Drosophila melanogaster: one gene and its partners. Each later gene encodes a partner of the first gene's protein in a complex. Each region holds a gene or a part of one and is shown on either strand. Other genes may lie near its edges. The genes, in order: eIF3d2, eIF3l, eIF3c and eIF3b.

The links.
Region 2: eIF3d2 (region 1) and eIF3l share a complex: the UniProt entries of both Drosophila melanogaster proteins name them as parts of the eukaryotic translation initiation factor 3 (eIF-3) complex.
Region 3: eIF3d2 (region 1) and eIF3c share a complex: the UniProt entries of both Drosophila melanogaster proteins name them as parts of the eukaryotic translation initiation factor 3 (eIF-3) complex.
Region 4: eIF3d2 (region 1) and eIF3b share a complex: the UniProt entries of both Drosophila melanogaster proteins name them as parts of the eukaryotic translation initiation factor 3 (eIF-3) complex.

What each region holds. Positions count from the first base shown.
Region 1 is NT_033777.3:12,189,921-12,196,778, reverse strand, and holds eIF3d2 (eukaryotic translation initiation factor 3 subunit d2), read left to right. Parts: upstream 1-1,767; 5' UTR 1,768-1,826; coding exon 1,827-2,819; intron 2,820-2,896; coding exon 2,897-3,559; 3' UTR 3,560-4,076; downstream 4,077-6,858. Other genes in the region: CG43450 (uncharacterized protein), read right to left, coding at 1,292-1,438. UniProt on the Drosophila melanogaster protein: mRNA cap-binding component of the eukaryotic translation initiation factor 3 (eIF-3) complex, which is involved in protein synthesis of a specialized repertoire of mRNAs and, together with other initiation factors, stimulates binding of mRNA and methionyl-tRNAi to the 40S ribosome.
Region 2 is NT_037436.4:12,140,664-12,147,945, reverse strand, and holds eIF3l (eukaryotic translation initiation factor 3 subunit l), read left to right. Parts: upstream 1-1,848; 5' UTR 1,849-1,957; coding exon 1,958-1,990; intron 1,991-2,695; coding exon 2,696-3,174; intron 3,175-3,228; coding exon 3,229-4,201; intron 4,202-4,260; coding exon 4,261-4,395; 3' UTR 4,396-4,500; downstream 4,501-7,282. Other genes in the region: Nrx-IV (neurexin IV), read right to left, coding at 986-1,091; RhoGAP68F (Rho GTPase activating protein at 68F), read right to left, coding at 5,118-6,153, 6,217-6,412, 6,470-6,505, 6,569-6,694, 6,919-6,945. UniProt on the Drosophila melanogaster protein: Component of the eukaryotic translation initiation factor 3 (eIF-3) complex, which is involved in protein synthesis of a specialized repertoire of mRNAs and, together with other initiation factors, stimulates binding of mRNA and methionyl-tRNAi to the 40S ribosome.
Region 3 is NT_033778.4:17,663,394-17,671,330, reverse strand, and holds eIF3c (eukaryotic translation initiation factor 3 subunit c), read right to left. Parts: upstream 5,654-7,937; 5' UTR 5,515-5,653; intron 5,300-5,514; 5' UTR 5,265-5,299; coding exon 5,172-5,264; intron 5,110-5,171; coding exon 2,470-5,109; 3' UTR 2,346-2,469; exon of another isoform or gene 2,300-2,345; 3' UTR 2,056-2,299; downstream 1-2,055. Other genes in the region: IBIN (induced by infection), read right to left, coding at 106-231; CG30109 (uncharacterized protein), read right to left, coding at 825-944, 1,003-1,149; CG30108 (uncharacterized protein), read right to left, coding at 1,525-1,644, 1,699-1,845. UniProt on the Drosophila melanogaster protein: Component of the eukaryotic translation initiation factor 3 (eIF-3) complex, which is involved in protein synthesis of a specialized repertoire of mRNAs and, together with other initiation factors, stimulates binding of mRNA and methionyl-tRNAi to the 40S ribosome.
Region 4 is NT_033778.4:17,533,386-17,540,530, reverse strand, and holds eIF3b (eukaryotic translation initiation factor 3 subunit b), read right to left. Parts: upstream 4,319-7,145; 5' UTR 4,202-4,318; intron 4,199-4,201; exon of another isoform or gene 4,077-4,198; 5' UTR 4,067-4,076; coding exon 3,952-4,066; intron 3,836-3,951; coding exon 3,520-3,835; intron 3,462-3,519; coding exon 1,909-3,461; intron 1,838-1,908; coding exon 1,749-1,837; 3' UTR 1,468-1,748; downstream 1-1,467. Other genes in the region: Cc2d2a (Coiled-coil and C2 domain containing 2A), read right to left, coding at 1-1,209; patronin, read left to right, coding at 5,676-5,705. UniProt on the Drosophila melanogaster protein: RNA-binding component of the eukaryotic translation initiation factor 3 (eIF-3) complex, which is involved in protein synthesis of a specialized repertoire of mRNAs and, together with other initiation factors, stimulates binding of mRNA and methionyl-tRNAi to the 40S ribosome.

The DNA of each region.
Region 1 (6,858 bases):
GTTCTTGTTGCTTTTGTTCGCTGGGTAAGTACTTACTTATGTGCCAGGGCATTATTCTTGGCTGTGTTCCTTTCACCAAGCCGCTACCGCTTTTTCCTACAAGACCGGCAGTGGCAGAAGAAAAGCTTCAGCGGCAGGAGCGATTGCAGATGAGCTGGAGATGAGAGGGTAAATCCGGAGGTTGGAAAGCGGAAGGCGGATGGGGATGGAGAAACCGCAGCGGTGACGTGGCAATGCAGCTGCATAATGTGGCATGCGGTTTGCATTAAAAATGATATTGCAACACGAGCCGCACATCTGCAGCTGTGTGCAGTTAGGCGCCGCCTGCAGTCACTGACAGCCGCATGGCAATTATAATCCACACACACATACACTCACTCAGACGCACACTCATCCACGGCTTATGGCTACACTGAAATCAATTCAATGGTAAAATAGGAATTATTTCAGTCAAAATAAGTTCCCATTGTTATTGCTCCACAGAACCCATTATTATATTCTTGGTATGCATTCTTGGTCTTCTATTCTTACATTTGACATTATCTCTTCATATTCTCGCAGTGTATCAACAGAGAAGTGCGAGGGAATCTGGAGCCGGGCCATGTAAGCAGCAGCTGCCAGTGACATACACATCAACATGACACCCTGTCGCTTGACAAAGCTTAGCTCAGGATCTGGGTGCTGGAAGAGGGGCGGAGGCACCGCACTCCCACTGTCATCCCGCTCGCACCCATATCATTTTCCACACATTCAGGCACATTCACACGCTCGACATGTTGCTTTTTGGGTATGAGCCGGAGTGCAGGATGTCCGCTTCCTTTTTCGCCGCCTCACACGTTGTTATCTAACAAGCTTTTTATGTGATTACCTTTTGCCTTCTGTTAGTTTTACTATAATTTGGCCTTTACGCTTAACGAGATTGTTGTAAGGTGCTCCCAGCCAAGAATAAGGAAACCGAACCGGAACACAGTGAGGACTGAGCCAAGTTGACCAGATCCAGCACACAGGACACTCGTCCCATTGTAGTGCACTCCGCTGTTGTTCCTTTGCTTTCCTGATACTTGGGTCAGAACAATGGTGCTGGAGTTGGAGTCATATGAATGGAGTCATGTCGATGTGAGCTTAGATGCGTCGTCAAGTGATAATCCCGTCACAGTACCCCGCTTCCTGTACCATTTCCACAGCTCAACAAACATTTATTTGTGCGCTTAGTGAGGGTTTTTTATAAAAGATAATAAGAAACAAGAATTTGTCGGCTGGAAGGGGATCCCCGCGCCCATCCTGGATCAGCTCACCATGCGGAGGATGAGAATAATCGTGGCCAATGAGAGCAGCACGACGTTGACGGAGAACCGAAAGACGAACAGGCAATTACACATTTCTTCATTGTGGTTGCGGTGGTGTTTAATTGGGGGCAGGGCGTCCTCCTAAGATTCATTCTCCAAACGTCTTACTTCTCACTTTGTGTAGTTTATAGGGTTTCGGTGTGACTAGAAATACAAATAAGACTGAGCTTTTATTGTGAGGAATTGGTATCTTTTGATTTCTCACAATAGGCTTCAATCTACTTACTATAGGCTTTTGAAGAAATCTTTTTAGTTGTCTATCAAAAATTATTTAAAGATTGGATATTCGGTTATTTCCTTAATGGATAAAACCGCCTTTTTCATATTATAACATTATCCAAACGTAGGGCTTGGAAAATTTTCCCAAGCTGTCAAGCCGGCCATACGAAATCAGCTCAGTGTAATTTGTACCTCGACAAAACCGGATCACATAAATGTAAATACTTGCTCTTGGTTATTTAAACATCTTTCGGCGTGATTATGTCCAACTACGCACCCTTTATCAAGCCCTATGTGGAGTACAACGAGCACGGCTGGGGTCCTTGCGAGGTACCCGAATTGGATGTGCCCTACCAGCCGTTCTGCAAAAGTGATCGCCTGGGCAAGATCTGCGACTGGACTGCGATGGTGCCCGAGAAGAAGTTCCCCAGTAAATACGCCTCGACCTTTGGCAACAACAGTCAGTACGCATACTTCTACGAGGACGATGACTCCACCTTCCATTTGGTGGACACCACTGGATCGAAGGCCACCAAGCCCTATCAGCGGGGACGCTATAGACCCAATATGCGCAACAATGTGAGGAGCAGGGGTCGCACGGGGCGTGGCACTCCGAATATAGCAAGTCTCGGGGGATCCACGGCTGGAGGCGCAACTGCCAGTACCACCAAGTACGGAAAGGGTCGCAATACACGCAACACGCAGAATATGGGTCGCAGATTCGGTCGCAATGCTCCCACCAGAATCCGCGAGAGCTCAGTGATGGTGCAATCGGATTGGGTTTCGATCGAGGAGATTGATTTTCCACGCCTTCTCAAGCTGGCACTTCCCAATATTAAAGATGGTAAGGACATTGCCACCTGCGGATGGCTGGAATTTTATGATAAGTTATACGATCGAGTCAACTTACGCAATGAAAAACCATTGCAAAAGATGGATCGTGTTGTGCACACCGTGACGACCACGGATGATCCGGTTATTCGTCGTCTTTCGAGGACCATGGGCAATGTCTTTGCCACCGACGAAATCTTGTCCACCATAATGTGCTGCACACGCTCCAATTACTCTTGGGATGTGGTAGTCGAGAAATTGGGCACTAAGGTGTTCTTAGATAAGAGATATAATGATCAATTTGATTTGCTGACTGTCAACGAGACTTCAGTAGAACCTCCGATGGATGAGGAGGGTTCCATCAATTCGGCACATAGCTTGGCAATGGAGGCCACTCTAATTAATCACAACTTTAGCCAGCAGGTAGGTTTACAGTAGGTTTCAATTTATGTTATTTGTTATTGTACGTTTTTAAATCTTATGTTATTTATTTTTAAAAGGTTCTTCGCATTGGCGACCAAGAGCCACGTTTCATGTTTGAGGAGCCCAATCCGTTCGAGGAGCCAGGCGTGGATCTTGCCTCCATTGGCTATCGCTACCGTCAGTGGGATCTGGGCAACGATGTGGTGCTGATTGCTCGCTGCAAGCACAATGGGGTTATCCAAGGACCCAATGGGGACGTGCAGTTCCTCTCGATCAAGGCGCTGAATGAATGGGACTCCAAGGTGACCAACAGTGTGGAGTGGCGCCAGAAGTTGGACACCCAGCGCGGTGCAGTCTTGGCCTCCGAGTTGCGCAACAATGCTTGTAAGCTAGCTCGATGGACCGTTGAGGCTGTGCTGGCTGGTTCCGATCAACTGAAGTTAGGCTATGTGTCCAGGATGAATCCGCGTGATCACCTGCGTCACGTGATCCTTGGCACACAGCAATTCAAGCCGCAGGAGTTCGCCACCCAAATCAACCTGAACATGGACAATGCCTGGGGAGTATTGCGTTGCCTAATTGACCTTGTGATGAGGCAACCGGATGGAAAGTATCTGATCATGAAGGATCCCAACAAGCCGATGATCCGTCTGTATGACGTTCCGGAAAACGCCTTCGACTCCGACGGCGATGAGGAGGAGGAGTCCAGCGATCCCTTGAGTAACTCCAACGATAACTAACGCCCTCACGAATTTATTCAACTAATAGTTCTCCGAACAAGGGGATCCGTCGACGGACGAGACAAGCCGACACATGCTGACAGATGCGCAGTGAACACAAATGCAATTTAAATTGAGTTTTTGACCAAACACAACATATGAACGGAGCCATCACTTGACATGTCAGTGAACAACGGACCGGGTGACCGGGTGCAGTCACAGTTATTTTGAGGATAACATGGCCACATCAATCACTGCGGTTCCAAGAAATACAAAATGAAACCCGGCTAAATAAATATGCATTGTGCAGAACATCCCCCGCCATTACCGACTGACAATCACAATAATTGCGGGGGAGTGGAACTGGGGCTGAAATGGGTGAAGGGCTGTTTGGGTGACAAACCTCAGGATCAATAAATCACCGAACACGGCATCAATCAATGCAAATTCTGATGCTGCTGTGGTGCTTGGCGTGCGACAATTTAAGCAAAATGTTTTCGTATTCAACAGCATTTAATTAAATTCATATATGTGCTCGAATTTCATATGCATCCTGCCTTTTTTGTTATTTGGCAATTCAATTTGGGCAGTCAGTGAGCACAAAAGTGCAGAAATTATTCCCCAACGGAAATGCAAATCGCTCAACTAAATTACCAAAATGTTTTGCGCATTTTTGTTTTTGTTTCTCCGTCCGCCAATTTCTTTTTGTTCAGCGCCAAATTGAATTTAGACCTATTCAATTTGCATGGATAGGCTTGCACTCCCTTTCTTCCCCAGACAGGATGAGCAAATGATGATGCCTGGGTGTGAAATAAGTGTGTGAAAATATTTAGGGAATTTACGCAAATGAAAATTGAAACCGATTAATTTTAATTCCCTGCCTGCGGCAAATTTGATTGATAAAGTCGGTCCATTATGTGGCAGTGCACAGATTCACAATGCAGCACATACATATGTATATGTGTGCACATCAAGTATACGCACAGTTGGCCGGAAAGGCACTTGATCTTGCCAGTAAGCAGCAGTGAAACACCAAAGTGTTATTCAATTAAAACATTTTGTTTGCTAAATCAACATGTGTGCCTGTGTGTGTGCCTGCAGGACCAACTTACGAAATGACTATTGCGGACTGGTTTTTTAAAGCGTTTGCCGCAGAAAAGTTGGCTCCGGCTGGTTAGCTGCTCGAGTGGCTTCAGCTACCATGTACCACCAACTACGGAGTACAGACTACCGACTACCAGCTGGCAACTACCGGCTTTAGCTACCAGCTTTAGCCTTAGCTGTAGCTGCAGTTGTAGCTTCGGCTTCTGGCCAGGACTGGCGTGGCATTTCAAGGTCTGCGCTTGGCTAACCACGCCGTTGAAAGGCGTTTAACAAACTGGCAGGCCGGGTTGGCCAGGGCACTTGCCAGCGGCAACAACTCCTAGCCCAACTCAAGTGGGGCCTTAACGCAAAACTTTGTACATTTTATCGCATATGCAGGGCTGCGGGCCATTCCGGGGTAACGGAGAACACAGACCGGAGAGCCCAGAACACAGGGTGTGGGTTAGTGGGCTGAGGTATGGGTTTAGATGGCCAAGGCATTTGCATATGCAACCACAAACACCGCCCGAGTGAAAAGTTAAGCGTTGAATGAGGGCGACAAATTGCAAATTAAACTCTTTTGCATTTTCCCAGCATCACATCACATGAGGAATAGTTGTAAATAAAACTGCCACACCCGCGTCAACTTTTTCAGCTCCTGCGACCTCCAACTAAATTCAATTTCATTTCAATTTGCCTCACTCGCTTTTTTCGCTGAAATGGGGTTATGGTAGCTGGAGCCTCGGAAGCCGTCTGAGCCGCATTAGGAAACCAAATGCGACTTTAAGTTGCCACCAAAGCATTTGGCCCCAGGCCCTCTAGCCGTTTAAGCAACGGATTTGCCATCTTTGGACTTTGGTTGGGTTCACCAGGATCAGGGGGCTCCGGGTGCCAGGGGTCACGCATTTCGGGGGGCGGACTGAAGAGTTTAGGAATGTTTGTAAGCCAAAAGTTTTGTGTTCTTTTGGCCAGCTCGGATTTCGCCTCCGCCTTTTGGCATATTTAATTTGCCGACTTGTGCCAGTTTTTCTTTTCTTGTCTTTCCTTCTCGAAAGATCCTGTCAATTTTGTGACATTTGCTTTGGGCTCCATTCACCGTTAACTTTTCAAATGCAGCTCATTTAAATATCATTTGTCTGGGTAAAAGTTTGCCACGAGAAGTCAGTTAATCGAGGATGAAGCCCACGGCTATTAATATAGGTATGGATTGAAGTGAAAAGGGAGACCCAAAGCAATCAAATATATCGTAAAATCAAAATATTACTTATATATCAAATCGGAGATTCTTTAATATTCCCTTCTTTTTACAGGACGAACCTGATAGCCCTGCTACTCTTTTCCAGATGAAAATTCGTAAAACTTTCTCACTCAAGTTACCCCAATATAATATATTTAAATTACCCCTTCTGCATTTTAGACGGTCGACTAGACACAGACGAGAGCACACTGTTGTTAGCCACAGAATAAGAAATGTTATCAATGCCGCCAACACCTCTGCAAAAAACAAAAGCAAAAGCACCGAATACAAATTTCAGCGTCACCCAACAAATCTGCAACAATAGTGATAATTTTTTCCACTTCTTCAGCTCGTTTCGCAACGCAAAACTTTGTGCAAACATTTTGCCAAACTTATTCTTTTTTTGCCGCGTTTTGAGCTAAAACTTTTTTGTTGGCGAGAGCGAGAATAATGGCTAAAATTATGTAGATGCAATGAGGGGTAGTAACTGGAGCACGGGAATATTCACATAATTCGATGAAATGAATTGGTTGCAGTTGCAATCCCAGCTGCGAGTTAACTGACAATCCGCCCAATGATTGCATATAAAAAGTTCTCAGATGCCGCAAAATTATCGCCGCAGCCGGTCCAGGCCGGAAATCATTTTCCTCTTCCGGCCAGGCAAGGTTCAGTTGCCGATTCTCATCTCAGCTCAAAGAAAAAACGAATATTTTCCACGTCTCACTCGGAGCCTTAGCTCCTGACCGACTGCGCCTGTGGAGCAACTTCTGTTTTACACATTTCTAATTCGTTTCCTGCCTGCAAACGAATGGCTGGCAAAAGTCTGTCTGCTGAAAGTCTGCCTGGATAGGGTCACAAATCTGGACTGAAATTCATTGAATACTTGTCAAAAATATCCCAGTAGCCAACGTAATTGGATTCTTTGTTGGCGCTGTCACCCAAGTTGGGCACATGTGCACTTTTGCACTCCTGAATATATTTCGGCAGATTACAAATTCGA
Region 2 (7,282 bases), on another chromosome or scaffold:
GTCTTGGGTGGAGTGGTACAAATCAACCTGATAAGCTCGAAAGGAAACCGAGGAAACACGCATGACAATCTTCTGGTAAATAACACAGGAACATATGTACATACATATATAGCCAGTTTGAACTACTTTTTGCTACATAATTGCCCAATGGTGATTAGAAAGAAAACGAAATACATAGAATTTGGCTAATGTTCTAAATGAAACAAATATGACGAGGTCTGAAAGGCCATTTCCGTCCATCTGGGGGAAACTCGAAGTGCGAATGATGCTATTTTCGAGGCAATAAGAACCGAAATAAATTATGGAAATCGACCAAAGTCTGGGAGGATATATGTCGGCTGTCTGCTTTCGACGCTTCAAGGCAAATTAATTGCGCGGCATTGTTTATTTTTAGTCATAAAAATGTTTGCATATCATCGATAGATTGTTTATTTTTCAAGATATGTGGAAATTTGTGGGGAAAAGCGCTTAAGTCTGTTGACATATGGAAGGATAATGATAAAATCACCTGTTTCACACAGCATCATCAATCAGCAGATGCTTCTTATTTGCCGCATGCGCATTTGAAAAGCCGGAAAAGAAGGCAAGCACAACTGGGGATGCAACCGGCAAAATTTTCGAATTGCTCCCCCGGGAAGCTTCATAAAAGTCCGGAAATCAAGAATCTAAAACCCCAATGCCTTTGCTCAAAACGAACGAGTAAAAACGGGCGTTGTTAAGCGGCATTTTTGTTTTGCCACCGCTATTCGTAAGCAACCGTTTGATCGCTCTCCCGTTCTCACCAAAACTCTCGCGATCGCTAAGAGCGAGTTAAAAAGCGAACAACGGGCCAAAGGAAAATGGAAGAGCGAGTCTTCAGCTTTGGGGAACACGCCCAAAAAGTTGGCTTACAAACAATCGACGTTTTATGTCACATATTGCTGGGAAAATCGAGCCGAAAGGATCTGAATTCCTGGGTTAGTCAATGGGTATCACTGGTTTTTACCTGCTTGCACCGATTTAATGCCATTATTGACCAGCAATAGGAGGCATAACAATCCAAACTGAAGCGAGGAAAATGCTGCTTTCGTATTGCTCCTGGGCGGCCTCATCTTGGAGGCTGTTAATTAAACACTATCGCTTGGTAGATTTATAAACACATCTATATTCGATTTCCGAAGAAGTTTAACACCAAAATGCACTTTTCCGCTGGAAAAACCACCGTGAAAAGCTGATGATTTGTGGCAACGCGTCCGCGGTGTTAAAAACGTTGGACTGCACTTTACGCTCCGCTTTAAATCGATTTTGAATTTATGTAATTTATCCACTGGGTGTACGGCTCCAGCAGATCACGCCCACTTCGGAAGAGTTTCGTTTGAATTAAGAAAATAATTATCGCAACGCGGATGACACACGAACAGAATGTCTCGCTGCCAGTGTGACCGTGACTCAAACGTGGCAAGATACCGAGGGAGTCACCAACTGGGTGCTTGTCGCGTGAGCTAAGCTATCGTGTGATTAAGTATATGAAGTATTTACAAATTATTTCAACTGCTACTATGAAATTAAATTTGGTCACTAATAATAGCTTTCCGTTAACATTTATATTAATTCGTGATAGAAATTTTTTTGCATAGTTTTAAAGCCATGTAATATCATTGCAAAATGAATGATATAAGCAAAGTATACAAATGTAATGGCAAATAAGTCAAATCCCCTCTAAAATATTTTTTAAAAATCTAGTTTTCTTATCTATCCAGAAATTTGAAATAAAATACATATTTTACAAAAAATTATTTCGAATACCAAATCGATAGGGGCGTAAAACATCGATAGTCGTAGTAGTATCATTATCGATAGTTGGTCACACTGTTTATCCCTCTTTTCGCCAAAAATTTGTTGGCGTGTTGTCAATTTCCTAAGCATTTGATCGGTTTTTTCGTTTTGTGTGTAACCCGGAGAGGATAAAACAGCGACAATGTACGGTGGAGACGAATACGCAACCAACTCGGTGAGTGCAGCCAGCGAGGAATGATTCATTCTCGGGAAACCAATCCCCGGACTCCGCCGACAACATAACCCATCTTTTGTTGCCCTCGCACAAATACAAAACTCACTGGGATGATTTTAAAGCCGTTTTACGACTTGGCATAGTTGGTGTTTAGATCATCATAGGTCATTAAGCACTGATAATCCGTGGGCCACTCCTTTGACACGTTCCTTTGCTATTTGGAAACGAATCCTGTAGTCCGGGGGACACCCCGGCGCCATGTGGTATATTATTGGTATCGGTGTACATTATTAATAAGTCATAATACCTTCTACATTTTTGATTTGCGTGCAATTTTAGATGGTGTGTACACACCTTTAAAGAACACATGAATATATTCTAGCTTACTCCTTAGAGATGCCGTGGAAAGAAGTACCCCTCTAAGGTTCATCCACTTCGTAATCGTAGGAATGCGCTCGTTTTGTTAGCTACAGCTCGCTTAGCTAAATGGTCGGGATTAAACTCGGAACAGTTGTAGCATAGTCTCTCGAATTCCTATTTACAAAGTCGAAAGTCTTCAATAGTCTAGGCAAGCTGTTAATTTATAAAATCGATCCACTTTAAGCGATTAACTCTATTTAATAGCTCATTTATGCAGAGAGTCGTAGATCAGTATTTCCTGCAATTCTGCTTCCAAAAAGTCATTGGGTTTTTTACATATTACAGGATTACTACGATGACTACGCTCATACCGGAGACCCGCAACTGGACATGGAGTACGAGAGGAACTACTACGCCGCCCGGATGCCGGACAACGTCAAGTACTTCCTCATAAACTTCTGCCAGGCGATCAAAGAGGGCAACTTGTACGACATCCAAAACATGTACGAGAACACGTTCCCGCAGATCAGCGACCACCACTTCGACAAGACTGCTTGGCCCGAGGAGCAGGAGGTGGCTGCTATTGTAGACAACGACAAGGTCTTCCTGATCTTATACAAGGAGTTGTACTATCGCCACATCCACGCCCGCATCCCCGGTGGTCCCAAGTTGGAGCAGAGGATCAACTCGTTCTTCAACTACTGCGACTTCTTCAACCTGATCATCTCGGCCCAGAACCCAGTGATGCTGGAGCTGCCCGACATCTGGCTGTGGGAGTTGGTGGATGAGTTCGTGTATCAGTTCCAGAACTTCGCGCAGTATCGGTATGTAGCTGTTTCCGCAGCCTGTGGAACTCGATTAACCTTCCATTTTTGCAGCGCCCGCCTTACGGAGAAATCGCAGGATGAGATCCAGCAGCTGTGCGTGAACCACAGCAACGAGTGGAGCATTCTCTGCATCCTCAACGTTCTGCATTCCCTTGTGGACATCTCGAACATCAAGAAGCAGCTGGAGGCCATCTCTCAAGGTGTTGATCCCCAAACCGTGGCCGGTGACTTCGGCAAACTGTCCTTCTACAAGATGCTGGGATACTTCTCCCTTGTCGGACTGCTGCGCGTTCATTCGCTGCTGGGTGACTACTACCAGGCCATCAAGGTGCTGGAGCCCATTGAGATCCACAAGAAGTCCGCCTATTCGCACATCCCCGCCTGCCAAATCTCGACGTCGTACTACGTGGGCTTCGCCTACATGATGATGCGCCGCTACGCTGATGCCATCCGCACCTTTTCTGATATCCTCCTGTACATTCAGCGTACCAAGCAGCTGTACAGCACGCGTTCATACCAAAACGATCAAATCAACAAGCAGGCCGAGCAGATGTACCATCTTTTGGCCATCTGCCTGGTACTCCATCCCCAGTGCATCGACGAGTCCATCCAGCAGGTGCTCAGGGAAAAGAACTACCACGACGCCATGTTTAAGATGCAGTGCGGTGATCTGGAGGTCTTCAAGTCCTTCTTTGTCTTCGCCTGCCCACGTTTCGTGAGCCCCTGCCCGCCAGCTGTAGACGCACCCATGGACGACTACGTCAAGGACCCCATGGAACACCAGTTGCAGGTTTTCATGGATGAGGTGCGCCAACAGAAGGATCTGCCCACAACGCGCTCGTATCTAAAGCTGTACACCACCCTGCCGCTGACCAAACTGGCATCTTTCATCGATCCCAACGCCAGCGAGGATGACGTGTCGAAGCTGCTGATTCGCCTGCTTTGCTTCAAGCACAAAATGCGCAACCTAGTGTGGAGCAAGGGACCCAGCGGCCTGGAAGGCACATTCAAGTCTGGCTCCGAGGTGAGATTAATATAGACAAATTCTGATGGCAAATATAATAATATACATTAATATTCTAGTTGGACTTCTACATCGACGACGACATGATCCACATAGCCGACACCAAGGTTTCACATCGGTATGGCGACTTCTTTGTGCGTAAAATTCTTAAGTTCAACGATCTGAATCGCAAATTGAAGAACATCAACATTTAAGCCGACTCCTTGTGACCCTTAATGATAAATTTAATATTCCATACTGGACCGATTTGTTTCGATATCAATAAAAATCGCTTGCGATCTTGCGCAAGTTTGGTCCTCAAAATGTGTCTTGAGTATTTAAATAATTTAAAATAATTATCTAATTTTTAATAAGAATCCAAGTTGTTTTAACACTTGCTTTATTTTTAACAATACCGTTATTTTATAAAAATTGTTTGTATGACTATAAGGAAATTCAAGACTACACAGTACGATTTTTGAGTTCGCCACAACTCCACTTGTGCTCGGCATGTGCCTTCAGCAACGCAACCAAGATTCGTTTTCGGTTATGGGGGAATGTGCGTTGAATTAATACGTAGTATATAATAATAACATCTCATATCAAATTTCTCTCCTGTTCGTCGCATAGCGAACACGAGCAAATTTCTTTGGTAAATCAATCGTATTAAGCGCTTGTTGGGGGTAAATAATTGTGATTTTCGGGGGGGTTGGACAGTTGGCGTGGAGTTGGGGCTACAAGCAGTTCCACACACATACACACAGTTTAAAATTCAACTTAGGATTACAGTACACTTTATACACGACATTGCCTTCTGTTCTCTAGTTTCTGTTGCGTTTTTGTGTGCTCTCTCTTTAGCTAACCATTGGTTCACTTAGGACTAACATTAAAATCAAACAATTTACAATTACGGACTTGTTGGTGGCCGGGCCAGTTGTTAGTCCACGGACACTGTGCGCTGATTGACGTCGATCAAGTAGATGTCCTTGTGATTCTGCAGCACAAAGTCGACGAAAGCATTGATGGGAGCGATCTCCTCCAGGGAGGTACTGGTGCTGCGCGACCACAGGAAATTCGGACCGAACACGATGGCCAGGTTGGAGGAGGTCATCTTGTTCAGATCCTCGCAGTCCATCACCCTGACCAGGAACTCAACAATGTACTTGAACAGTTCATAGTTCTCCTCTGGCAGTTTTTCGCGTATCAGTTGCGTCACGTTCCTCGAACGCTCTTCCTTGGGCCAGTCTAGAAAACCGGTCACATCCTCGTACAGCTCGAAGGTGAGCAGCGGCTCGGCGAGATCGCGCAGGAAACTCTTCAGCAGGCCGGCTATCACGTGGACATTAACGCTCTTCAGATCCACATCCTCGCCGCGGTTGACGCGCTCCTTGAGCGCCATGATCTCCGAGTGATTGCCCGATCGACGGAATATGCCCTCCGTATCGATCACGCCCGTTATGGACAGCGAGTCCACGCACTTGCGCACAATTGGCGGAATGGAGTTTAAGCACGGACTGTTCATCACAATGAATTTCAGGGGCACACCAAATTGATGCGTCGTCGCCATTTTGTGCTGCTGCTGCCGGGATGCATTTATATTGCTGCTGGGCGGCGGTGTCGATGGCTTCCGGCTGGGGTTCAGTTTGTCGTCCAGGTCGCAGATGTTGTCCGGCAACTTCAGCTTGTTCAGGCCGAGCGCCTGGCGCAACTCGTCCAAGCTGGAGATGTAGACTAGCTTCTTGCGGAACTTGTCGCTAATGAACGGGCTAAAGAAGTTCCAAATGACCCGTATGAACCACGTCGGATGAACCACATACAACGTCTTCAGATTCTTGCGGAAGTTGCGATCGAGCTCCTTGTACGAATTCCACAGGAACTGTGCGGATGGTTTGTTGTCCTCCTTGAGGCCTTGATGGAAGTAAACCAAAATGTAGTCGTTCTCCACAAAAGGTTCGATCTCCTTGATGATTTCCCTGATAGACAAATGGAAATAGATTAATGATTGAACAAAAAATGTACTCGAATATGAATCCTACCGCACAAATCCTTCCAGTTGGGATTTTTCGGGAAAGCGGGATGCATAAATGCCAAAGATGTGGCGACCCTGCTTATCGGTTCCCAGGAAATCGCATTTGTTTCTGGGAGTCTGAAAGTTTTCAGACTGCTCCCTGAGTTGGTCCTCGAAGTCGTCCTCCAGCGGATTTACATCTTCCTCGGGCTCAAGTTCTGGATCTAGGCGTAATGCGAAACGTTATTCATTGGCCAGGAGAAGTAGATTCCGCCACTTACCTTCGGCCAGAACGAAATCACCGACCATAACATCTTCTGGGAAAAATCGAAGAATTAGTTTGACTATGATTTTGTAGATTCTTTAAATATTCAATTTACTTTCAAGCGGAGATGGGGCCAGCAGCTCGGTATCATCAAACTCTAGCTTCGGCTCGAAGTCGTGCAGATCGGAGAGACTGGGTTGGGGCTCATCCGAGTTATCGACGATCGGATTGATGGCGGGACCTTGGGGTGCGAGAGGAAGGCATTTATAAATCTCGTAGGTTTCCCTGGCGCGGACTTGTATTCCAAAAACGTAATCTTACAAGTAATGCTTTCAGTTAAGTATTTTGACGGCCTGAGGCAACAAGTTTAGTTCGGATTGAGTTTGAGTAAGTGAATAGACATGAATCAGAGAAATTTCATTTGTTAAGTACATTGGCATCTGATTGTATAATCAACAGTCTTACGGTTTCGATATAATTGGCAGACGATTACTGAACAGAACAGAACAGAGACGATTAGGAAACTCTAAGCTAGGGCGATTAGACTATAGACTATGAAGTAAGGCTATAAGGGCTAGGGCAAACACATACGATCACAAAACACATCGGGTAACCAAACATTGGCAACAACACAGCTAGCGAAAAGTAGTTAACAAATAGGATCCACAACAAACCAAGCAAACAAACCACATTGGATAGTTTTAAAATGCAAGTTATGTATGTACAGGAGGAGACGGTAAGCTGCCCACATAGGCTGGATAATGCAGTTTGAAATGGGGTTAGTAGCGCAACTTGATACCAAAAACAAAGAACTTGGTTAGGGGGCGGC
Region 3 (7,937 bases), on another chromosome or scaffold:
ACAAATACAACGTTAATTCCCTAGTTTTTTTTTTTGTTTATTTTCTTTCTATGGTTGCATCGATTTTTCGTAAAGATTTTCCTGTGGGTTGAGTTTCGTGATCATTTAGAACTGCCGGAAATATGGCCTGGGATCGTAGTCACTTGGTCGGTATCCTCCCCAGTCCTCGTGGTTCTTGCAGGCGGCGCAGATGAGGAGAGCGAGGAGCACGAGGATTGGCAGCAGTTGCATCTTGATTAACGGCAAGTTAACTTTAGATTGTGGTGCTGCAGCTTTTAATGCTCCTCTTTATAGGTGAGATTGCCTCACCTTATCGTTGAAATAGTGACCTTTCTCTTGGGGAAGTACTCCGATCTGTTTATTGGGCGATGGGATTTACCATTAATGTACGACCTATATGTGTTATTGTTTCACAATAAGCAGGATTATCAGCGTGGAGGCCATGTAATGTCATACTTTGTCATTAAGATGGATTTTATATATTTCGTTAAAAAGCTTTTTTTTATACGACCAATAATAAGAACTGCGACCATTACCTAATCATAGGCTTGTATATACTTCTAAGAAACTCAAAGACGGATTCTGTCTGAATATAACATTTTTTATAGTTCGCTACTTGAACTTATTTATAAAACATTCACTAAATAATTTACATAAGGATACGAGTCATGGAACTAAACCAAAGCTGCTTCTGGTACTTGGTAGACCTAGGCTGTTCCTCCACTCTGGTGTCGGCGCTGATTACCGGTGAGGTCATTGTGTCCCGGGTTCTGGCCCACTGTGGATTCAATGCCGTTGCCAGGATGCTGGAGCTGCGTAACGGGTCAACTTTTTGTCTTGGGTTGCGTCTTTCCGCCGGAACTACTCGCATTGTCGTACTCCGAGCCGGTGCAGTACTCAGATCCGACCTCCCGCAGCTCAATCTTTTGCTCCCTCATGGCGCGCTAAAGGTCAAAGATTGGGTCAACCAGCTGGATGATGAAACTTGAAACCTGGGCTTACCTTGACGCACTCCTGATAGACCCGGAAAATCGGCGCGCAGCCCGAGTCATCCGTCTGGCCCTTAAGGAAGCCTTCCGAGAACCAGCTGTTGAAGCAGGCGTCGTACTGCTTCTTTAGCTCATTGCAATCCTCGCCAATGCTGTTCATTTGTGGAGTGAAGCTCTTTGAGTTTCAGTTATAATTTCTCTATTGAATAATAAGTCGAAAAAAATGTGAGAATGGTTTGTGTGAGGGTCATACTACAGATAAGCTATCAGAGATGTGGGACACAGCATATCGATGTACGTTTCGTTGAAACTGAACGTGCTATCGAAATTTGAATTTTCAATTCTTTAAGAACATCTAATTTATTTTAATAAAGGCACTCTGGTTATAACGAAATCAGTTGTCCATGTTTCATGATGATACTATTAACAGTCAAAGTACTACGAAATGTTTCTCTTTACAAGTATTTTGTAGCGCGTGCAGCCACCAATTAACGCTGGCGAGGATTAGGATGGCTATATGGAGCAGCTTACGGGGTCAGCTTTCGCCCGCCTGCTGCTGTTTTGCATCAGATCTATTCGCATTATTCTCCTCAAGCCCGGTTTCGAAGATCGGATCTATCTCTTGCAAATCGATCTTCTTCTCCTTAATAGCGCGCTGGGGATTACAGGTTGGTCAAACCATACGTGGTTAGGGAGCCGATTAGCTCACCTTGACGCATTCCTGATAAACCCGGAAAATCGGAGCACACGCTGAGTCATCCATTTGACCTTTTAGGAAGCGTTCAGAAAACCAGCTGTTGAAACAGGCATCGTACTGCTGCTTCAGCTCGTTGCAATCCTCGCCAACGCTGCTCATTTGTTTACTAGGTATATTTTGGTTTTAATTTATAATGCCTATTATAGAGTTCCGAAAAAATGTGACAAAGGTACGTCGAACGGTACTACTGAAGAAAAGGTTTCAGAGATGTGAGAAAAAAAGAGCATATCGATATCCGAAGTTTTGCAGAAAACGAAGCTTGTCATCGAAATTCAAATGTTATTCTTAGTTTTCTTAAATTTTCAAAAGCCAAAGTGTTAAGCCGACTAAAATAATACTCTTGTTAGTACATATAAATTTAATATTAGTTGTTGGTAAAAATTTGCAAAAAAAAGTCACTGATTTTGTGTCTCTTGTTTTTAAGGTTTCTTTTTCGGTTTTGGGTTCATACAAAATGTAGTTATTAGTATTATCATTTAACGTAATGAGCGCTGAAACAAATGTTCGTGTGACTTGGCTACAACAATATGCAATGGACATGATAAAAACAGACCTCCGACCCAGCCTGAAACCGAATCGGAGGCCTGAAAGCATGTGACCCAACGTGTTGTCCATGGCCATTCCATTTTAATAGTCGAAGTGCTACAAATTTGATCTGTTTAAGTTTTGCTGATGTTTAAGCTAACGCTCGCTAGAGAGGATGGGCTGAGGTTGCAGCAACGTCTACTCCTCGTCGATCGTTTGGACTTGTTGCTGTTGCTGCTGCTGCCTATCTTGGTTGTTCTTGTGGTGCCCGCGCTGGTTACGGTTCCGGTTGTTGCGATCCCGCCGCTGGCCGAGCCAATTGCCGCCCTGGTTGTTCTGGTTGCGGTTGTAGCCACGGTCACCGCGATTGCCCATGTTGCCGCGCTGGAAGAAGTTGCCCTGCTTCATGTCGAACACCTTTTCGTTGACGTCCACCAGATTTGTGACCTTGTCCACGAATTGCATGGCCAGGGCCTGAAGACGCGATGGCTCCGAACGATGCATACCCACGGTTTCGGATGGATCGTCCAGGCTGGCCATGAGCTCCTCGTTGATGATCATCTTACTGATGATGGAGTGCACTTTCGGCACGGGCAGCTCGTACATCTGCGCCAGCGAAGGAATGCTGATCGAGGTGTAGACGTTCGAGTAGGTGAACAGGTAGGTGCGCAGCGATTCTTCCTTAATGAACTTGGTCAGCATCTCGCGCACGCGATCAGACTCGTAGAAGAGGTCCCACACTTTCGTGTTCATCTTCTTGTTGACAATGAAGTTGGCACACGCCTGCCAGTTGCCGCAACGCATAGCCTTGGCAGCAGCCACGACATGCTCACGCATCGACTCTGGTGGACCCACCAGTGATTGACGCTCCGAGGAACGCAACTGCTGGTAGAAGGTCTTACTGATCATGCGGCGGCGGGCGTCGAATTCATGGGCGGCAATGTAAGGAATTTCGAGCAGCATAGCGGACACCAGGTAGACACATTCAAGCAACTCAAGGTTGATGTGCATATGGAATGGCATCTGGCGTTGCTTCTCGATTTTCTCCTGCTCGGCAGATCGCTCGTGCTGGCGCTGAGGCAGCAGTCCTTGAGCGAGCAGCTCCTTGGGCTTGCCGGTGACCATCAAGTCCACTAGACAGTGATGCGCATCCTTGACGTTGCCCTGGCGGAAGGCACACAGACCCAGATTGGCCATCATACGGTTGTACAGGATGCGGGTGGCGGGATCGGCGGCATCAATGTTGTCCTGCAGATGAGACATCAGCACCAAATCACGGGCCTGGAACCAGTTGTCGTGCATAGCATGATGGTAGATGTGCGCCAGGATGGCCCTCGTACGGATACGATCCGTATCGTCCTTAGCGTAGATGAATTTGCACAGCTTATCCATCACGTCTACGGAGGTGGAGGTAGTGGCTGGCAGCTCACCGCGCTTCTTCTTCAGCACCTCCGGATCGAACTTATAGTAGAGATGTTCGATCTTGCGCAGGTAGATGCGACAGCGCTCGTTGTTGGTGCCAGAGCGCTCGAAATACTGCAGCACCAGTTCAATAGTCTTAACCACGTTCACCTCGTCCTTCAGCCGGGACACGTAGTCGTTGGAGTGTGGATCGCATTCCTTCAGCAGCTTAACAAATTCGTCATCCAGGCGCTCCACGGCAGCCAGTGGGCATCCCCTCACATAAAACGGTGACGTAGCGTACTCCTCATGCTCCTCGGCCACGCTCTCGCTCATAATAATGTCGGCGTTGGCCAGCAGGAGCTTCATCATGCTCTGCATTACCTCCAGAAGCAGGGCCCAGTGTTCTAGCTTCATGGGCTCGGAAATCTTCTGGTTGTAATCGTAGATAGCCGAGATGATGTTAAAATGAATCTTCACGGAGACGGCGGTTCCCAGGTTGTGCTGATCAGAGATGTCCCTCAACTCGAAAAGCAGATCGATCTGCAGACGGCGATCGGTGCGCTTCTTGCCGCGAGCCGACATAATTTCCAACAGCTTGGCCAGCACTAGGGGAACATCGATCTCTGCGTCCTTTTCGAACATCTTGGGCTTCTCTACTACATGACCCTTGACCACAGTCTCCCACTCGCCATCTTCATCGTCCTCGGCGCGCTTGCGGATCTTGGTCTTCTGCTCCTTACGCTTGTCCTTCCTCTTGTCATCATCCTTTTCCTCCTTTTCGGTAGTACGCTTCAAGAATCGCTCGCGCATGTTCTGATACTGGTTCTCATCGTCAGAGGACTCGGTCTCCGATTCAGAGTCCGAGTCCCAATCAATGGAGTCATCGGAATCGTCATCATCGGCGGGCGCAGCCTTTGCCGGCGCGGACTTCACAGCTTTCGGAACCGCTTCTGTAGGCTTCACTCCGGCGTCGCTGTCATCACCAGCATCGCCGCCGTCGCTCTCCAGGGCAACCACCTCGTCCTCGGCCTCGCTCTCCTGGTCGGGTGCTTCACGGAAACGCGACAGATCGTCCTCGAAGTCCTTGATGTACTTGCGTACCTTCTGGCGCAAAGTGCCCAGCGACTTGGAGTTGTTCTTGGAAAGGTTTTTCCTGCCCTCGCGATCCTCCCACACCTCGTTGATGAAGTCCTCCAGCTCGGCCAGGCAGCGAATGTAAAATCGCGGCGTAATGCCGTTCTCCTCCTTTGAGATGACCGGCAGTGCCTTCTGGTAGGCGCGCGTCAGATCCTCGAAGCTGCTCAGGGTATTGGGAATATCCTTGATTTTCTTGTGGTTGCGAATGGTTTTGATGATGCTGGTGAGGTTCTCGTAACGCTTCTCCTTCGTGGAGCGGACCACGCGCTTGACCTCCTCCTCATCGTCGCTGAATTGCTGTTTTCCACGGAAAGGAATAGATTAGTAATGGATGAGTTTCACATCTGGGCGGCACTTACGAAGGCGCTGGCTTTGTTGAAGTTGGTCGCTTGGATCTCCTCCTCGCTGGACTCGGACTCCGATTCGGACCCGTTGGCAAAGAAACGCGACATCTTTGTTGACTTTCTACGCGGCCGTTTGTCTGCGCCTGGAATCACAATTTATTAGTTTCGGGCCACATAAGATTTTGCTTTGTTGAGGTTATGTTTGAGCGGCCAACATGGCGTTTTGCAAAAACGTATGCCAAATATTTCCGCATGACATTTGGTTGTTTCATTCGAAGCCCTGGCAGAAATCGGTTCACTGCCTTGCTTTTTAAGTGTTTACTACCACCTGGCGTTTGATATTTCACAATAAACTTACTATTTTACAGCAAAACTAAACGATGTCGAATGCACAAGACATCAAAAAGAGAGACTAGAGATGGGCGATGGTTGCATGTGTTTTCGTTGGCGATATATATTGCTCAAAGTCACGGGGCGGGGCGTTTGATTTATGTATTAATAATAACTGTCATGTTGAGAAATGATTACTCTCTACTAATATTCGTAAGGAGAGCGTTTTAAACATTTTTTTAAATGTAACAGAACATTTGTTTTTTTATGTGGCGGACCAACAGTTACCGAAATCTATCCCATCTCTAAGGGAGTCACTGTTTTGACTGAATGCGAGCGCGTACTCATCGATAACGAAATGCCGGCACTTCTCGAGATATATCGATATCAAGTAACCGGTTGGGCGGTACATTTAAAATAAATCCATTAAATTACATAGCAAATATATCATCAAAATGAAATAGTGGCCATTTAAGTAACTATTCAAAATAATGTTAAAAAGATAATCAGTGATCAATGCTTACATAGATGTTGCATTGGTGACCTGCAACATTTGAAGTTGCCAGCAACATGTTGCTGCGCTTGCGTGCAAAAGTGCCGGCATTTCTTAGCCAAACAGAGTGGGGTTCCCATTCTGGCGCCCCAACCAATCTCCGGATCAATTGGTCCGGCCAACATGCAGCCAGGCAGCCAAGGAAAGGCCAAAGCAAAACCAAGCCAAACGTTTTCGCGCGCGCCAACAAGTCGCATGCGTTCTCTCCTCCGCGCCGACGGACAGTTCAAGTTCAAAAACTCAATTTTTCGGATGTACTCGGCGATTTGGCAGCGTTGATGCCAATATCCGGCGATAGAGTCTCAAGTGCTTTTGCGGCCCGCTAAAAAGAATTCAATAAATTCATTCATTTGAATTCTTGTGTGTTGTGTTGTGTCTTGGCGGTGTAAACAAAATTTGGCCCAAGTGTGCGGTGTGTGCGTGGCATGTGCTCTGCCCATCCACATCCTGTTTAAGTGGCATCCTAAATGAGATGCGACGCCCGGAATCGCTTGAAAACACGAGTAACACGGAAAACACTTTAACGCAAATGTAAGCATAATAAATAATAACTGCAGATTGATGGAGATGTGTGTATCTGCGGTCTCGGAAATGGCAAATTAAAAATTGATCGGTTAATCTCGCGTAATCGCCCTTTTCCTGGCTTTTCGACAGCTGACATTCGAGAGTGCATATGGCGGCTTTATTATCCGGAGAAATTGATGAGAGCTCCATAAATTCCCTGTCCGCCTATCGACATTTGAATCCGTAAAGGGTCCGTGAAATAGTACGGGTTTCTGCTCCTTGACTCCTCCGAAACTGCAGCTGCAATCGTAAATTGTGTGTGGGTGCAAAAGCTTATATGCATTTACATACATCCAAATCGGCAAAAACGGGCCCCTTTTTCCTGGGGTTCTGTTTCTGTTTCCGTTACGCTTTTGTGCTGTTTATTTTGCTTCCGTTTTCCGTTGGATTGTTACGGCTTGTGCGGCCCCATAAATCCTATATATGGGTTGGATATTTTCAAAACCGATGCTCGAAACAGACTATAGAAATTTCCATTTAAATGCGATTTCTGCCCTTGCTCGAGCATAGATTTCCTGTTGATTGAATACAAATGTTGAGTTACGCAATTTCAATGAATAATTCCTAATAACTACTCCCACGTTCCTGCCTCCATTTTAATTTAGTTTTTATTGATAAAACCGATGCACTTCTTTTTCATTCAATTCGTCATCATCCATTACACAGAAAAAATGGCTTTATATTTAGATAAATATTTTCCTGAAATAAAGTATTTCTTATTCGATAATATTATATTTTTAATAATTTGCCTTCTCTCAATTTGAAAATATTTTAATTCCTATGGATATTTTAATATAATGGAGCATATTGTAAAATTAATGTCCGCTTACTACAAAACTCTTTTGCGAATAAATTGAATAGTTTCTTTCCATGCACTATAAATTCTGCGTGTTTTTCATTTCAATTTAGGAGGAGCAGACATAAAGGTTACAGTCGTAATCAGAATCTTGAGCTCATGTTTTATTCGGGGATTTGGACAACACCCTTTTCATGCTGCACACTGAGTTTCCACAAGACGGAAACTCCCAAGCTAATGAAAAACCAGGGAAAAAACCCCAAAACAAGCTAAAGCCATGGACAGGAGCACTTGAGAATGCACAAAAATGACTGGGTGGGAAATAAAAATGCAGGCGAAATCCCAAAGTGCATCGCTTGTGGTAGCCATTTATTTGCTTTTGGCAGCTGGATACGTTAACGTGGCTTTAAGGTGCCATTAGCATGGCCTCACGATCGTGAAAACTTGTGAGGCAAAACAAATTTGCAGCTCTTGGAAAATATAGTCTTCCTTCGCACCTAATCGCTAAAATTGTCTATATTTTGGCGTACTATATATA
Region 4 (7,145 bases), on another chromosome or scaffold:
GAATTGTGGTTTCCTCGGAGGCTTTGAGTGGCCCGTCGCTGTGCGGCTGTGTGACTTCTGATCGGTCCACAGGCGCAGTCGGGTGTAAAACAACTCCAGGTGCTCGCGATACACCTCGGCCAGATCCGTTTCGAAGCTCTCTTTCCACGCGCAATAGGAGGCCTCCAGGTCGGGCGGATGGACCACACGGAGGCCAAGCTGGAAACGTGTACACTGGAATCGCTGCTGGCGGCGCAACTCCTTCAGCTTCGCCCACTCCTTCAGCAGGCGCTGGAGAAGATTACGCTGGGCAGCGGACTCTGCGTAGTAGCGTTGCCTCAGCTGACGGGTCAGCTTTAATTGACGCTTCACCTCTGCCGTCTGATCCTGGCCAGCTGAGGCGAGCAGCTTGAGTGCCACCTGGCGGGCTATCTCCAGTTCCTCCCTCAGTTTTCGACAGATCCTCTGCTTCCTCTGCTGGCTGTACACATCGAAGAGATCCTCCAGCTGTTGGGCCAGTCGGTGCTCCTCCAAGAGTTGAGGATGCAAGCTGAACCGAAGTTGTTTGAGGCACAATTTCAGGCAACGTCTGGAGGGCAGGCCCTTCAACTCACTTGGAGGCATGGGAGGGAAGAACACGCTCTGAAATCTCCTATGGCACACACTGCGATATAGATGTTTCCCCATCAAGAAACTCGCAGGCTTCTGTCCACTTAGCTGACCAATCAGATCAGAGCCCAATTTTCCGGACTTGCTTTTGGACTGCTCCTGGTAGCGGTTCAGCATACGGATCTGGGAGTCCTTCAACTCACTCAAATCGCTCAAATGCAACTGAAAGTGCAGGGTATTACTCGGTCGGTAAAGTAAGCTCTCATCATAGTAGTGGCGCTGCTTGAATAGCTGACCCCAGGCCAGAGGAGGATCGTGCAGATCGATATGTATAAATGTCTGGGAGGGCGAATCCGTTGGTTCCTCAGCCAGTTCCCCACCCGAATCTTCGTCACTCTCCTGGCAATCTTCAACAGCGAAATCGTTCTCCTGCTGCATCTCACCCTCAAATCCATGAAAGAACTGCAGGCTAAGTGCCTCCATGTCGTGTTCTGGACCAGAGATTCTGCCTTCCGTTGCCCTTATCAACTTTTGCACCTCCTGCTCCCTTTTCCGATACCCTCTGGTGGTATGGGTCTTGCGTTTCTTCTTTGCAGTCTTCCTGGATAGAGCGGCTTCCATGTTACATAGGTTATTACAAACGGAAAATGCCAGGCAAACAATATTCCGCCTGCTTTGACCTTTCAACTGGTTGCCATGGGCAACTGACTTGACCACTGTTACACACCTGCTCACCACCAGCTATCTATCGTCTATCGCCTTGAATGAAACATCAAAAAAACATACCCCAAACGTATTTTGTTTTCGTTTTCTTTTTGCTGTTTACATACAAATACATGGCAAATCTACTATTAGGCATACTGGAAGGAGGAGGGGTGTGCGCAAGAAAGGTCATTTAATTAGATGTTATGTTCGCAATTGCTGATTGAGTTGAAGTTTACTTTTGGGCTTATAATTCGTATGTTCGTATGTTGTATGTATAGGCAAAGGTTCCGCTTAGAGTTGTTTGCAAGCAGACGCGTGCTACTGTATTGGATAATGGATTAGGGCCCTGGCATCAACCAGGGCGTAGACGCGTCCCGGACACGAAATGTGAGGCGACAGGATCGCTTCGAAGTAGGCAGGGGACGACAGCGTTGGAGTGGCGTTGAGGGGGTCGTCTACTCCAGCAGAGTGACTTCTTCCTTGACTAAAAATTCAACAATTTCTTCATCCACTTCGTCAGTTTCCAGGTTGTCTGTGTCCACATCTGTTGCGTAAGGATAATATACATATAGAAATCGGCAAATTTTAAACAATTTGTTTCTTGAGAATACTTACGCCCTCGCAGCATGATGCGACGACTCTTCTGCTCCGCCCACTCGGCAATACGCTTGTTGCGGTACTCCATAAAGGTCTCGCGCAGCTGCGAGCGCTTCTCGAGCAGCTCCTTGGAGGCACGGGTAAGGCGCAGGCGATCCTTTTGTTCGAAGGCAGCGTAGTACTTCTTCAAGTTCTTCTTGATCTCCTTCTGCTTCTCCTCGCTAAGCAGGGTGGGAGGACGCGGGCGCCACAAGAACTGCACAAAGTTCTTAAGAATGGTACGCTTGATGATGCGGCCCTGGAACGTGTACATGTTGAAGCCGGTATCCTCTTTCACCTTCCATGACGAGACACCAGTCACAACGTAGCGTCCAGTGGGATCCCACTCGACCTCGGAAGCGCGGAAATGATCGGGCGATGCCGTGATGATGTAATCGTTGGTGGAGTCCACAAACTCGAAGGTACCCATGGTGAGGTTGGCCATTACGATAAACTGACCGCGTGGCGACCAGAACAGATGTGTGCATGACTTCTTTTCTAGACGCTTCACCAAGCTGGGCTTAACGCCCTTGTTCACCTCGTAGAAGCTCACATTCGACGAGTTGGTCTCGCCGTGAATGATGGAGAACTTGTTGCCGACGGGCTCCCAGGCAAAGGCCAAAATAAGCTCACGAATCTCCACAGAGTCGACGGGAATCTCCTTCTCGCGCATGTGGAAGATCTCAAAGTTGTAGAACATGCCCAGAAACTTGACGTCCAGGTCCTTCTTATCCTTCTTCAACTTTGAGTAACGATCTACCTTAACGCACAGATAGTCGCCGGACTTTTGCCAATGTAACTTGCAATCGGCCACATGGAAAAGGTTCTTGTTACGGATCTCACGCTTCTTGGGGATCTCCATCAGGGTAACGCGGGCGGGTATTTGGTTCTGCTCCTCCACCCAGTAGGCAATCACGTTGTCTGTGGGGGACCAAGAGAAGCCACGAATGCCGGGAATCTTAATGGACTTCAGGTCCAGAAGATAGAAAGAGGGTGTCTCGTAGATGTGGATCGAATTCTCGCCCATGCGGGCCACAAACTTGTCGTCGTGCGACCAGCGGAACATAGAAAGAACCGACATGCCATCGGCAACAAACGAACGTTTCTCGGCTCCAGTGCGAATGTCCCAGATGATGATCTTTTGGCCCGTGGGTGTCGGTCCGTAAGTCACTAGGTAATTCTCGCAGGGCGAAAACTCAACGAATTGGGTACCAGGATGGGGAAACTTCTGAATCTTCTGGAAGCTACTGCCACCCCAGATGGCCACACCGGGTTTGTGGAAGGTGACTACATAAGTACCCAGGGGCGACCACTTGACGAAGGTGTCGGTGAAGCGTTCGCGAGTCTCCAGCTCAAAGGGTTCGGGCAATACGTTTTGCCAGAAACCAACCTGCACGCAGTTGGGAGCGGTCTCCGCTGCCACGCAGTACTGGTCATAAGTGTCCGGGTCATTGATGAAGTTGTATAGATCGCTCTGCACTTTGAAGGTCTGCACGGTTGGCGGCTCCCACTTCTCGGGGATGTTTTCGTACCTGCCAAGATTAAATTTTATTAATCTCATTGCTTGATGCGGATGCAAGGAGAACTTACTTTTGGAAATCGGTGAAGAGATTGACGGCAAAGGTGTGGTTTTTGTCTAGGCGATGATTGTTGAGCTTCTTGACGGCTTCCTCCGCCTGTCTGGCCTGCTTGTACTCCATGAAGGCGTAGCCCTTGGTCTTGCCCTCCTCGTCGACGGGATAGACCACATTGACGATTTCTCCGTAGTTCGAAAACAGCTTGTTGATGACCAACTTCAGCTTCTCCAGGCGCACCGGCTCCACCTTTGGGATATTGTCCACTACCACCACACTCTCGACGCCATCGGCCTCCGAGGGGCGCTGGGCCAACATGTCGCCCAGCAGATCTGAAAGTGCATCACGAATATATTTAATTAGATATGCAAATGCAAACTTTCGCACACCGCACACGGATTGAGGTTAGATCGCCGCGTGTGATGCGCTGGCAGTCGGTGATTTTCACCTTCATCACTAATGTTGTCCACGAACCCGGGCGGATCGTCAAAGTTCGGCTCCTCCTGGTAATCACTGTCGTTCGCATCCGTACCGGAGTGCTCCTCGCTTTTCTTCTTGGCCATATTCAGCGATCTATTTGCAATTTTCCGTCATTAAACACACAAGCACAAAGTGAAAAAGGAAGAGCGAGATGCCGCATTTGCCAGTCAAGGCGAAACACTGTTTTGTGTGAATGGTTAGTGTTGCCAACTACTCACTGCGTTGATAACGCGGCGGGGTAACTTTTATTAATATTTATAAATACATATGTACATGCATATATTTTAATTTACTGTTTCTTAGATTTATTTGTATTTATACTGCATATGTTTGCTTGACAGCAATGACAATAATATCTGGATCCTTCTCTTATGGATCCTTAACAACAGAATCTTAGGTGCTTATCTGGTGATAATGTGTTAAAACGGCTAAATATTATCATTTTGTATTTCATGTACATACAATTATTTAATATTAGTCAATATGTATTAAGCAAAGTATAACCTATAACAACTAGTTTAATCGTTCTTTAATAATACATACATTTTTTCCGCTTGCAACTCTAGCGATGGAAGTTTTGAAGCATGTTCAACCGATTTTTTAGAATTAGGCATCAATCGATTTGTTGCCGATAAGCCAAAACCGATTGCATCGAGTAATCATCGGCTGGGGTTCCATCTCTCACATGAAAATTTGTAAGATTTTAGAGCAGATCGGTGTCCGTGATTTTCTCAATTTAAGCCCAATTTGTAGTATTAAAGCTGTTGAAAAATGCAGCGGGGACGAGCGCGAACCGTGTGAAATGCATGCGAAAGTCGTCGGTGCAGCAAATCAGTGCGAAAAACATCCCAAATGTGCGTAGGCCCCACACTCACTCTCGCACACACACCCGCGCGCACATACACAGCTTTTTCGGTCACCACTCGTTCGCTGTGGGTGCGAGCAGTACCACACTAGCAGTGTCGCACACCAGCACTGCCAGTGCAGCGGGAGCGACAGAGAGGCAAACAGCGGGCGGCGGACAACAACAGTGCGAGGCGAAGGAAAATGTTTTCATTTACTTAAGTCGGCGGTTCCCCAAAGAAAATTGGAAACTTGCTGGCTTAAAACGGATTGGGAAAACATTAATTATACCATGGACGGGCGGTTGAACACTGCGATGGGTTGAAAAGTGCGTAAATGGCTTGTCCAGACGAGCAAATCGCAACAGCTGATGCAGCAGCATCTCGAGAAAAGCGAACAGGCAACTGTAAAGTGTTCTCTGTTATTGTCGCACTGCAGCCCCGCCCCCGCCCACCACCCACCGTCGCGCTCCGTGAATGATTCACATTTTCTTTCGGCTGCCCGCCTGCCTTTTAAGCTTTTTCCCTGCCCCGCCCGCCGAAAAAAATTCGCTGACAATGCGTGTGCGCAATTAGTTATTTTTCTCGATTTCCAAGTGGTTTGACAAAGTGCCAATCGTGTTTTTGTATTTTCTTGTGTTTAGGCTCCAAGTGAAAATCACCTAAGCTGAGGAAAACTCCAAGCCACACTCACACACACACGCACTCGCTCGCACGCAGAAAAGAGACAAGTGAAAAAGGAAAAGCGGTGTGTTGTGGTCAAACATAGAGTGCGAAAAGTGCAAAAAGTGCGGAAAGTGAAGTGGCGGGCGTCGGAGAGCCGGAGTCCGTCGCAGGAAAATCCGTCAGCATGGATGTCGAAACACAGGAAATACGACAGGTAAGCGCAGCAAGAGGGCTTCCCGTGTACAAAGTTACACATAAAATAAACTCATATTTGAGCTAAAAACAAAAAGCACTCATTAACATTCCAACGGAGGCGAAGCGGGCCTAAACACCTACTCTCTTGGCCAAAATGGTGCGCTGAGGTAATGCCGCTCGGCAACTTAGCGCTTAGTATGCGACCGACACCTACTTACCAATCGACTGGTTTCGATGGCCAATGCAAACAACTACAACCGGTAGTTGTGTGGGGTGTGCTTGTGCTGATCGGAATATAATGCCAGCAGCCAACATCCATTCATAAAACTGCAGCTGAAAAATCGAAGCCGGAAAATACGCTTTACCCCTGCAAGATTAGGCATTTGTTATCGTTTTTCTCGCTTTGAGCTGGCCGCTGTTGCATGACCTAATCGCTAAATATGAAAAGAAAAAACAAATAATAAAAAAAAAAAAAAACGGCTTACGCATGCGAATGCCAGGCGCAAAGGGAGAAACGCTAACACTCTGCTCGGCGGTTTGGGGCCTTGCGTGTACACCGACTTTTCCCCCAGACAACTCCCTAGAAAGTCGCGCTGGAGTCTCGTTCTTGGCCAGCAAAAACAAACAGCTAGGAACCATAACGCGAACCGAACCTATGGCTAAACCCATTCAAACATTCAAACATCCAAGCGCTGACTCAAGCGGAGCACTCTCTTCTTGCCCGCTTTCCTTCATCAGCACTCTTTGTTATATTTAGCCGCAGATATCGCTGCCCATTCTCTGGAATGCCAAAAACAAGCAACGTTCGGCTAGATAATGAAATCATAAAGTCGCGCCAATTTCAATTTGTGACATTTGAAAACCACCAGCAACTGAAACTTTATTACAAACATGTGATGGAAATGTTTGCGGCACAGAGAAAAAACATCTCTAAACTGAACAACAATAAATCATCATTATATTCATTTTTAGTTTTATTTTCTTAAATATAACAATTATCTCAGAAAACACTAGTTTATTAGCTTTCTAATTATTACTCCCTCAGCAACCTAATTCTCATTAAATTAGATTGTTTTTTTTTCGTGTGTATTTGGATGCTTGAATACAAATATGCTATCCATCCATCCATCCATCGTTCGTTTATTCATAGTGGGCGTCCAAAGCAGCACTCATTTATTGTTTTTCTTCGAATTGCCTGCACGGTCTTTTGAAATTTGAGTTTTAGACATTTTTCCCCCGCGAGTCAATGCAAAGTGCAGCCAGAGTTTTTCCGTTTCGTTGGCCATTCAAATTATGTTGCGGACAGTTTCTTGCTTTTGGTGGAAAGCGCTTCGCTGGGCAAACAGGTTTTCCCTCCACCTGTTGACCAATTCGCATAGCTGGTCGGTCTACGACCTACGCCAATATTGTTTTCCCCGCCACTGCACTTTTCCCCCCTTATTCAGCTTGAATTATTTAT